Linked DNA regions of Drosophila melanogaster. The protein of the gene in region 3 interacts with the protein of the main gene of each other region in a pairwise test. Each region holds a gene or a part of one and is shown on either strand. Other genes may lie near its edges. The genes, in order: rtp, RluA-1 and CG1394.

Region 1 (3,770 bases), on a different chromosome or scaffold from region 3:
CATGCAGAATGTAGAGAAGTAAGGTTCAGAAACTATTCAAAAATGTAACGTACACACTTTTGAAGAACTTGTAGGATTTTCTTCATTTTATTATATTAATAAGCATTAAGTAGATTTGTCTGATTCATTATAATTGACTCGCTCGTTTGCTGTGCTCTAGAATTGTGAAAGTATACTCAGCCTCGCGGCAAGTGGATTCAGGCATCTTGACCCGCATCGATGCGGATCTAATCGACGGGTCGGAGGAGCAGCACCGCTGTATCGTGGATATCTGGACAAAGGTCTGGGTGAGGAAGGATGAGCACGAAATCACCTTTAAGTGCCGCAACCAGCCGGTGGTCCAGGCCCGACACACGCGATCCGTGGAGTGGGCCGAGAAGAAGACGCACAAGAAGCACAGCCATCGCTTTGACAAGGTGGACCACCTCTTCTACAAGTTCCAGGTGCGATTTGGCCGTCGCTACGTAAGCACCGCCGAGCGCCAGATGCGCCTGCGCATTTTCCGTCAGAACCTGAAGACTATCGAGGAGCTAAACGCCAACGAGATGGGCAGCGCCAAGTACGGCATCACGGAGTTTGCTGATATGACCAGCTCGGAATACAAGGAACGCACGGGACTCTGGCAGCGTGATGAGGCAAAGGCCACTGGCGGATCGGCGGCTGTCGTACCGGCTTACCATGGTGAACTGCCGAAGGAGTTTGACTGGAGGCAGAAGGATGCTGTCACCCAGGTGAAGAATCAGGGATCCTGCGGTTCATGCTGGGCCTTCAGTGTGACCGGCAACATCGAAGGCCTGTACGCAGTGAAAACGGGCGAATTGAAAGAGTTCTCCGAACAGGAGCTGCTGGACTGTGATACCACGGATAGTGCCTGCAACGGCGGCCTCATGGACAATGCTTACAAGTAAGTTACGAGGGAATGAACATTACGATGTAGATACTTATGTAATAATTCCTCCGCAGGGCCATTAAGGATATTGGCGGCCTAGAGTACGAGGCTGAGTACCCATACAAGGCCAAAAAGAATCAGTGCCACTTCAACAGGACTTTGTCCCACGTTCAGGTTGCCGGCTTCGTGGATCTGCCGAAGGGAAATGAGACCGCCATGCAGGAGTGGCTTCTCGCCAATGGTCCCATTTCGATCGGTAAGTCGATGCAGAAAATTAACCCCAAAGCCCACTTAACCAGATCATTTCTCTAGGCATCAATGCGAATGCTATGCAGTTCTATCGCGGCGGAGTTTCCCATCCGTGGAAGGCCCTGTGCTCCAAGAAAAACCTCGACCACGGTGTTCTAGTTGTGGGGTATGGCGTCTCCGACTATCCCAATTTCCACAAGACCTTGCCCTACTGGATTGTGAAGAACTCGTGGGGTCCGCGCTGGGGAGAGCAGGGCTATTATCGCGTTTATCGTGGTGACAACACTTGCGGCGTCAGCGAAATGGCCACTTCGGCTGTGCTGGCCTAGACTTGCTTTGAGTCCAATTATATACAAGCATACGACTATATCTAGGTTAATAATTTAGCCAGTAACTTTGTGTACAATTAATTCTGTTTCCATGTTCTTCAACCGTCACGATAAGGAGTCGTTGAGTTTCAAAGCTTCGCCTATATAGTATAATCATTTCAGACATCTGTAATCTCACGAAAAAGTCTGCATCCACATATTCCGCTTTAATTGAAAATAACAATAAATTGTACAAGAATTAAAACCTGGTTGGGTTTATTATTGAATCCATGACAGCTCTGGCCGCAGCAACAGTTGGTCAAGATTGATGGTTGGTTGGATCAAGAAAAATGTTGAATTTATGTGAGATGTATTCAAATTATTCGATTAAAATGGTTTGATTAAATATGGGTGCCAGAGTATTATTGGCTGTTAAGAAATATTTATAACTGCTTCAATTACTGGAACATTTGACCCAGTGATTTTGATGATTGATTTTCAAACACTTTGTCAGTGTGTAGAAGTGCAATATGTTAATTAGATTTAGACCAGGGCCGTCGCACCGTGGGAAGCCATAGAAAATGAGTGTTTCTGGTGCAGAACCAGCCAGCTCAGTAGCAGCTTGAAGCGCATCGCGGGCGGTAGCGGAGCAATGGCCATGGACGACTACGATGATGACAGTAAGTGAACACAGACAAAAGGATGCAGATACAAAATTGCGTAAAAATCATTACCCAGTGAGCAGCGTGGGCGTGACCACGGCCCGAATCGAGAACCAGCACCAACAGCACCCCCACCAGCAGGGTCAGCATGGACACCACCAACAGGGCCAGGGTCAAAGCCAGTACAGCGCAGGGGCGGTCAAAGTGGGCGGATGGCGATACGAGGACGCCAGTCGCTACATCGGCGAGTGGAACCAGCGTGGCCAAAAGCACGGCATCGGGCATCTGCAGTTCGCCGATGGCACCCGCTACGATGGGCAGTTCCAGGAGGGTCTTAGTCAAGGAGTGGGCTGCCTCTGGTTCGCGGATGGAGCAAAGTCAGTTTCAATAATATTAGTGATGTAAACCTAAACGAAATATTGTAGCACTTGAAAACTATTCTTGTAGCCACTACTCGGGGAGTAAGAGGAAATGCTAGTATATATATTCTTGATCAGAAATGGTTTAGCTATAATTTACCTAGGGTTTGCATCCAGTGAAGAAAATTGTATATGATGATTCATTTTGCACATTTTTAAGACAGATACGAAGGCGAGTTTCATCAGGGCTGGTTTCATGGTAATGGGATCTTCTGGAGAGCCGATGGAATGAAGTACGAGGGCGAGTTTCGAGGCGGCAAGATCTGGGGCCTGGGATTGCTGACGTTCCAGGACTTCACGCACGGCTTTCCCAGAAACGAGGGATTCTTTCAAGACTGCCGCTTTATGAGACGACGTCGATGTCCCGAGGTGGTGCAGCGTGCACAAAAGTGCGCTCTTATGGCCCGTTCCCAGTGCGAACACCCATACTGAACAGACACTTCAGATTGGTTACCAGTTGGTATTGATAAACACGTACAGTTTAAAAATACAAATTTTAGTAACCGACTGTAAGAGTCTCAAGTCATAAAACAGAAAAAGGTGCCTTTAAGAAAAGAAATAAGCATTTCTTTCTTAACATCTTAAACTTTAATACATTTGCGCATAAACGTTCGTAAATGTATCTAAGTAATATAAAATGCATACAATTTCGCGTTTACTTTATAATTTTGCTTTTTCCAAATTCTTTATCAAAAATTCTTCAACGCACCCTAATAAAAACAACAAGAAAATTATGAAGAATTTGTGCGTGTGCTTATTGGATTATAATATTAACAAGAACGGAGTTGTTTCTCTGCTAATTCGGACTAGGCGCACCGACCAGGTACCACGCATTCCTGGCCTTCACCGCTGTGTTCCGCACCAGACGCTTGGGATCATCCAAGGCGGCGGCCAGGGCCAGAGTAACATCGACTTTGTGGGGCAACAGGACGAAGGTAGGATACTTTGTCACATCGTAGAGCAGCTGCAGCGCCGCAATTCGCACTTGCTATAAGAAAGAAAATGAGTTTAAGTTTTGTGTTCGACATTTTCCTTTACAAGTTAAGAAACCTCCTCAATTAACTATCAAATCTTTATAATAATATGTGCATGTTTAACTTACCATGGTATGCTGAGCCTTGTATTTCGACAGCTCCAGACAGCTGGGTATGAGGTGGGCCAAATGCCCTTGGAAATACGTGTCCTGCTGCGCCACAAACTTTTCACAGATGCCCAATGCAATGCACAGCGACTGCGCCTCGTT
Region 2 (4,888 bases), on a different chromosome or scaffold from region 3:
ATCATTAAGATAATAGTTTCATGTGAGACTATCTTTCGTATATTATTGTACCACTAAGTTAGTTACTGATATTTTGCCTCAGTGCACTTGTCTACGTAATTTAAGTACTAGCCTTCGCTCAAGTACGAATAGTGCCTATCATTACAAGTACTAAGCAAACTGCAACTCACCTTCTTATTAATCGGCACCTCGGCACTTGGCAAGACCTGAATGGCTGGGAGCGGAGGCGCCGGACTGCGCAGCAGGTTGAGATTGATGGACGACAGGTGATTCAGTTCCTGGTGCGGCAGGCAGTTAAGTGGCTGGACCATGGAGCAGGCGGCCGGAGCTGTCCGTTGGGCCATTTGCACGGGCACCTGGACGGGCACTTGAGCCGTCGTCTGCTGGTTGGCCAAATGGCCAGCAGTTGCTCCTCCGGTGGCGGCCAATAGAGATTGCTGGGCAGCCGTGGTCAGGGGAACGCCACCAAAGGCCGAGTGACCTGCGCCGGCGGCGGGTGCATAGTACGCACCAAGTGGCAGGGAAGAGAACATGGCGGAGTGCATCAGTGCGTTCTGGTTCAGCTGTCCGGCGTTGAGGAGCTGCGGTGCCAGATGGCTATACGGGGATCCCATGTGGAAGTGTGGTGCGCCTGGTGCGGCGCTTGGATGCAAAGCGGGCTGCTGATAGTTTGCCGGCGGTGCTGCTGCCGTATTGGGCGACAATTGTTGCTGCATCTGCGGCTGGCCAGCGAAGATGCCGCCCACCGATGTGGCGCCCATCTTGTCCAGAAACGGCGACTGCATTTGCAGCATCTTTTGCTGGTGCTGCTGGGCGGCCAGGGACCAGGGCAAGTACCAGGCACACGGAGCCGGAGAATTCTGCATTGTTGACACGATCCTGGGCAATTATTCACTTCACTGAGAGGAAACTGCAGATTGGATGGGTTTTTTTTTGTTGTTGATCGAAAATGACATTAATATCGCTGCGGATAGAAAACTTCACGGATACATTCCCGAGTTATACGATCATCTGTTGTTTACTTCGATTGCGATAGCATTATGGCTCTTAAAGTCAATTACAAATCGTTTTGTGTACTTGTACGTGTTTACAAATTGTCTTGGCCGTACATATGCTGTTTCGACTGTTTTATTTGAAAAGTCGAAGCGATTTTCGGGCTTGTATAATGCGAATTAAAAACCTAAACAAACGACTTATTTATTTTTTATAGTGTTTATGAACACCTATACCAAAGCTTGCATATTAGGCTCCACGAAATGCGTTAATTTGTGGTTTCTATTAGCGGATTGGCGTTAAAAAATAGCCCATCGCACACACACACACACACACACAAAAGTCGGAACAATATGTTGATTAGCTTTTGCACTGCATTAACTTTGTCTATCGTGTGCGCGTTAATATTTTTTTAACAATAATATTTTCATTGGCCATACATACACAAGAGCATTATTGGATCAAAGAATTTCTATTCGCATGAGAGTTGTAGATTCCTTTTGCTAAATACAAGCCAAACGATAATGGATACTTTGAAAATACATTTGGAATACACGCGGGGGCCATCTGCTACTTGGCTACTCTAATTGCACGAGACAAAGTCTAATATATCCTCTAGAATACGTATAAACCTACATTCGGAACCGTACATGCGTCTGTCAGAATTCTGGCAAGAAGAAATGCGTATGGGGGTGCCTATATATTGGACTGTTTGGATGTGTAATGGATGGAATAATACGTATACGAGACCAGGCATTAGGAGGATATCGGCTCACGATTTAGAATGTTTAGAATCAGGTATATATATATGTACATATGTATATATAGCGTGCATATATACCTCACCACCTACTGAGACAAATGGCACAAATGCGCACGTGTAAACATTTTCATTTGCGCTAGCAGCTTGTGCTAAATTAAGTTTTTGTATATTACTAGGTCCACTCGGGCTGTATCGACAAGATACCAGAATTTCAAAGAATTATTCGAGATTTTCGGTGCCTTAAGACGCAGGAATGTATGTACATAGAGACATAGAGATATAGCCACATTCATTTTTGTCATCAGTCGTCTTTTGTCTTAGTTCCATTTTATCAGCCACAATTGTGTATCTTTTCGAGTGATTTTAGTACATTTCTCAAACAAAATGCTTGCATAACTATATTATGTGTAGACAATGGGAAGAAAAAATATATTTAAAAAAAAAAAATCATCCTATATATGCGCTCGTGTGAACGTTTCATGTGTAAGTCCCCAGATCTCAAAATCACCAGGATGACAATAGATCATGGGCTTAAAAGCAAGAACAACAAATTTAGTGAGAGATACTTCTATATTTATAAGAAAATTTGTATATCTGCGCCAGCAGAAGGTAAATTCGTTTCTAAACTGTTGGTAAGGAAAATACAAAACTAAAATGGCTCATAGAATTTCATAGAGCACAACATAATAATTTTAATGGACCGTTTTGCGACCCGATGGAGAATGTTTCTTTTAGTTTTGCTTTTCCTATTAATAAGCGCATAATAATCGGTTTATATAGCAATGAATTCTAACATATGCCCAATTATTTGAATCATTTCATTCAAAGTTCCATAGTTTCAGCCACTAAAATCCAATAAAATGTGTCATAATATTATTGGTTATGGAAAATTATCGTTTGTCGTTTATGAAAATTTGTATTCTTCAGCCAAAATGTCGGCGCCGTTGATTATTCACTATTATGTTGTTCGAGTTATGTCGACAAAAATTATGTTTCCTTGAGTATTTTTAGTGTACTTTATTTGCAGGCTCTTCGCATTATTTATGCTTTAAATTAATATAATTAATTTATATAACCGTCACTTGCACATTGATTTAAGTTTCATAGTGTTATTAGATCTTTTCACAAAGTAAACCACGCATTTTAAATGTTTTCTGATCACAAATTGACTGCAAACTCGGGGGAATCACACGCGAATTAGAAGTGTCACGTTTTAATACCTGACCGACGATGGCATTCACGCGGCAGCATCAACTTCCAGTCTCGCCGAGTCCAAAACACCGAATGAAATCAGAAAACTTGGCGCAAACATAACAAACTTGGGTTGCCGTTCGCCGTCGTGGTGAATTTTCCGCTGCACAGTGGGGCAAACCGCATTTTTAATTTTAAAATGTTTGGTAGGATCAGGTGTTTAAATGTTTGATTCAATTTACGAAAATCTCGAGCCGGTTTTGCAATATGGTAAAACAAATTTAAAAACTTTAACATTATAATAAATATATTATTCCCAAACAGTTTTATTCTTACCCATAAAATGCATTTTTGGTCCACTGTATAGTGGTGAATTTGTAACTTGTTTGATGCAATGGTAAGTTGTCAATAAATTACATGAAATGTAGTTTTTTTTTTCTAGCAGTATTTCTTCTAAAATAATTTAAAATCAAGTTTATGGAACTCTTATAATTAAAAATCTTGTCTCATGCGCCAAACAGCAAAATAAATAAATAAATAATTCAATTACTAAAATAAAATACTTTGACGAGTAATTACGCGTTTTATTAGAATGTCTATTTCGAAGTGCACCAATTAAGACCTACTTAGGTAAAGCATTTAATTGTTGCCAAAACCATTGAATTAACCATTAATTTGATTAATTTTTGTGGTTTAAGGCCTTAATCCAAAATTCACCTTTCGCGTTCAAATAAAAAGTCGGGCGACTTGGTTGTGGTTGCACTCGAAATGGAACTGCAACATGCAACATGCGATTGCCTGCTTGCAACACATTCCAACATGACTGTATTAGCATTTTTGTAAAATAAAAAGGATTTTACAAATTAGGCCAGAAATTAGTATCGCAATGGTTTTATGACATACGAAATTTAGCAATTCATCTTCTTTTTAATTTTGTAAAGAACTTCTTCAAAAACAAAATTGTGTAAGTGGTCAGCTTAATTCTATAGGACTTCGAGTAAGTTGCTCTTGAATTTTTCTATCAACTCACTGATGTGCAAAGCCACAGGGACCATTTGACACAATTCCCCTAAACAAATGGTAAGTGTCCTCTGGCACACCCACAATTACTCGTATAAAATCCACTTTTTCGGAATGCTCGAAGCAATTTCATATTCAAAATCATACTTCTGGTGTTGCAGCCACAACCTTCTAATATCAGTTACGACTTGCACCAAATAATCATTCGAAAGAATTCCTCAAAAATTACATACCAACATGAATGTACATATATTCTGAAAACAATGCGTTTGCCTTTTCCGATTGACACAGTGAAAATGAACAAAAGAATGTTGAGGCTGATGATGAGCGAAACAAAAGTATAAAAGATCTGATTCACCAAAAGTGAAATTCGTAACGTAGATCTTGTGGAAGTGAAGAAATTCTTATTATAATCTAAAAAAACATAATTTTTGTTTCAGTATCTAAGCAACTTTATCCTTGTAAGTTTGGTTCCATGTTTTTGAGCGCCAAAAAGTAGGCAACAAATTAAGCTAAATCAAGCGAGCTCGTGTTGATCCTTAGATAAGCAAGGACTATTGAAACAACTCAAAGATAGTTGGATTAGTTTTAATAATTTTTTCCAATTAGCAACTAACCAAAATACAGAAGGCATTATGTTTGATCAAATTTGGGCTAAGGCTCCGCGAATTGCGTGTTTGACTGCGTGACTTTTGTTTTCCGAAACTCACCCACTTTCGCACGGGCCATTCCATTCAGATCCCGACGCCATGGTCTACGGGTATATGGAGTGGAGTGGAGTGGAGGTCTCCTTGAAACGCGGTTGGTCACGAAAGCGAACAACAAAGAAAAGGCTTGCCCGTCATTTGAGGCAACATTTAATGGCCACTGGCTATGGGGCTATATGGCTATATGGCTAAAAAGCTATAGGGCTCATCCTGA
Region 3 (3,046 bases):
ACAATAGAATAAATATATAATGACTTGGTAACATTACGATTATGCTAAATTCATGTAATTTTAGTATAAATCATCGAATCTTTTTTTAAGAATAATTTCCCAATGGGCATACCCATTTTTTTGTAAGTGCATCTCGTTAGCGTGTTGAGAAATTGCCATCTCATCACTGTGACAATCAGCCACGCCCTGTGATACGACAAAAGGGGCGGCAGGCGTTGTATTTGCATAGTTAGAAACGATGAAACTTGTATTGTTTTTTGTACTTTACAATGCGAATCTCAAGAACATATATTTATACGAAGTGCTCAAGATAATCATACGGTGGAAAATTGGGTCTATTAATCTTATAAATGGTTTGCACCTAGTTATTTAAATTTGATTTGTTTAAACTAAATAGAAAAATCGAAATATTTACAATGTAAGCTTGATTTGTGCTTTAATTATTTGTATAAAAAATAAAACTTCAATATTTGACTGCCGAGTGAAAATAACAATAGTAACCTTTGCCATACATCACATTTTGCCTATTTAGTAATTAGCATATAAAATATATGCGATTTGAGTTTACAACGCTCTTCTCACATTCAATTTGCCGCACGTTAACTCATCTCTGTATTTATTAATGCAATTAACCCACCCACCGATTTGTGCCAACTGATTATTTTCATATCTTATGGATTTATGACATTTATTTTATACATTTTCGCCAAGTACGAGTCGTTTGAGCTGCACAAAACGGACGTTTGGTTCGAAAACTAATTGTGTATGTATATGGCCCATATGCGATTCACTTTAGTCGTTCGGTGAAGATGCTCGTGCTGTCATTGTTCGTGGCATCGATCCTACCAGAAGCCACCCTTGGATGCACTGCCTCCGCCGTAGTTCATGCTCATGTCCATGCCGTTGTAGGCGCAGAAGGCTTCGCCATTGTCGATGCACGGTTCATTTCGTCCGGGTATGTCTCCATATATTGAACGGTCCACGGGTGGCGGCACTATATGCTGGGCTCCTGTAATGGGCATGCCACACGACATGGCACCCGGCATGGCACCCGGCATGGCACCCGACATGGCACCCGGCATGACGCCCGGCATGGCACCCGGCATGGCAGCCGGCATGCCACCGGCTCCTCCGGCGTATGGTAGCATGGAGTGTGCCTGAGCTGCGCCCTGGCTAGGCCAACCTCCTAGTCCGCCGGCTGATCCTAATCCTGGTGCTGCTGCTGTTGCTGATAGTGGTGGTGGAGCGGCTGCTCCAGCGGCAGAGTGCTGCATGAAGTCACCCATCTGCGGATAAACGGGAGCATTCAACGGCTGGCCATTCCAGTACGAAAACGAATTCGACATATTGTGAGTTGCGGTTGAGTAAATCCTAAATACAAATAATTTGGGAAAGTGGTGAAAAAGAAACAGTTTTTCTTTCGATTTTTTTTTTTTTGACCAAATAAAAGTTGTACAAAATTTTGCTCCGCTGAACGGTGTTTACTGTTTGGGATCTAAAATATAACTGATAATCTGGAGCTCCGGCTGGGGTACCTCGATTTTTCGGCTTGACATTTAATTTCATGGATATGTTGATTGGAAATTTTTGGAAATTTTTTTTCGACCGATTGCAGTTGGCCATGAAAATACATACGATATTAAATTGATTGTTTTACCTTGGCACATATTTTAGGTTTAGCTCTTCCATAAAATGCCTAAGAGTAAATATATTTTCTAAATATTTTGAATAGCAAATTATAAGTTACCATAGTATATATGTACATCATCGTAAAATATTTGATTTATTAACCTGACATAAGATTGTTCATAAAGGTTTTTGTGCTTCTAATTCAGGTCATTCCGTGTTATTTAGCATACAATTTTATATTGTGATAAATGACATTTCTTTTTATTTTCATTTCATCTTTTTGCTCTTGAGTCTTGATTCCTATTTCTATGATTTTTTTTTTTTGGTTTAGCCTTGTCGGAAAATGGGGGCGGTGGGCGACCGAGGGGCGTGGCATGGCCAGCGTTGTGTTTAATTTTTGAAAAAGGACGCCAACTGTCGTGATGCAGCACAGATGATAATGACGAAGACGCGGCAACAAACGTTTATTTACACACTGGGTATTAAATGGGTATTAAAGACTTGGTACCATAAAATAGAAATAAAACATTGTGCATCTAATTACTTTGCTAACTATAAAACAATTATAAAACTGCATTAAATTCGATTAAAGTAATTGAACATTTTGGCAAATATAAGCAATTATATGCTATTTCGTGTTTAACTTTCAACTTGATCTTATAGCCCATCTAACACGTTTTGATTCACACATGATTGGCATTTAAATACGGTATTTTTAAGGTTCTCACCCTCTTGGCCATTCACATTCCACTTGATTCTTGTGCCAAGCATAAAATGCAAAACACTTGAACTGAGTGAAAACGAAGGCGAAAGCAAAATAAGCAACAACAAAATGTCTCATAAACCAACCAGATGCAGTGAAAGAAAATTCATACTAAAAATATATACATATATAACAAATGTACAGTATAAATTATTACTTTATAGTTCTAGTTGACAATAAGGAATTAAATGTTTCAACATTGCGTATGCTTAATATTCAATGCTGATATTGCGTATACGCAACGTTGGCCGCATTTTATTTTTAACTGTGCCTGCGAATATGAAGAATAAGCAGTAAGCTGAGAGAAAAATAAAAGAACGCAACATGGCAGGGTGTTGATAATGATAGCAAAGACAAAGGCCCACGCCTAATGGGACACGGAATGACGACTGAGGGGCGATGATGAGGCGTTGGCCGGATGGCAGGATAGCTGGATGCTTGGATGGTTGGATGGTTGGATGACTGTAAGGCCGGGTGACCATCCGACTGTCATGCCCACGTCCTTGACGCGCTGCAGTGGCGACAACGTAGTTAAATTGCCTGTCCTCGGCCGGCGTCAACATTGTGTCATTGCTAGTATTAAATCAGAGCCAAACAAATGATGATACATAAGTGCGACACAAGTGCGCAAAAAAAAGAAAAAAATATACAAAC

The links.
Region 1: the proteins of CG1394 (region 3) and rtp interact in a two-hybrid assay, tested with the Drosophila melanogaster proteins (one large-scale study listed by BioGRID).
Region 2: the proteins of CG1394 (region 3) and RluA-1 interact in a two-hybrid assay, tested with the Drosophila melanogaster proteins (one large-scale study listed by BioGRID).

The regions. Positions count from the first base shown.
Region 1 is NT_033777.3:5,235,588-5,239,357, reverse strand, and holds rtp (retinophilin), read left to right. Parts: upstream 1-2,042; 5' UTR 2,043-2,098; coding exon 2,099-2,126; intron 2,127-2,184; coding exon 2,185-2,485; intron 2,486-2,691; coding exon 2,692-2,959; 3' UTR 2,960-3,266; downstream 3,267-3,770. Other genes in the region: CtsF (cathepsin F), read left to right, coding at 161-904, 964-1,145, 1,202-1,467; Mms19, read right to left, coding at 3,324-3,515, 3,630-3,770. UniProt on the Drosophila melanogaster protein: Plays a role in promoting axonal degeneration following neuronal injury by toxic insult or trauma.
Region 2 is NT_033779.5:10,471,306-10,476,193, forward strand, and holds the start of RluA-1 (RluA pseudouridine synthase 1), read right to left. Parts: upstream 3,045-4,888; 5' UTR 2,977-3,044; exon of another isoform or gene 2,843-2,976; intron 1,181-2,842; exon of another isoform or gene 1,022-1,180; 5' UTR 867-1,021; coding exon 171-866; intron 1-170.
Region 3 is NC_004354.4:11,169,164-11,172,209, forward strand, and holds CG1394 (uncharacterized protein), read right to left. Parts: upstream 1,516-3,046; 5' UTR 1,347-1,515; coding exon 843-1,346; 3' UTR 648-842; downstream 1-647.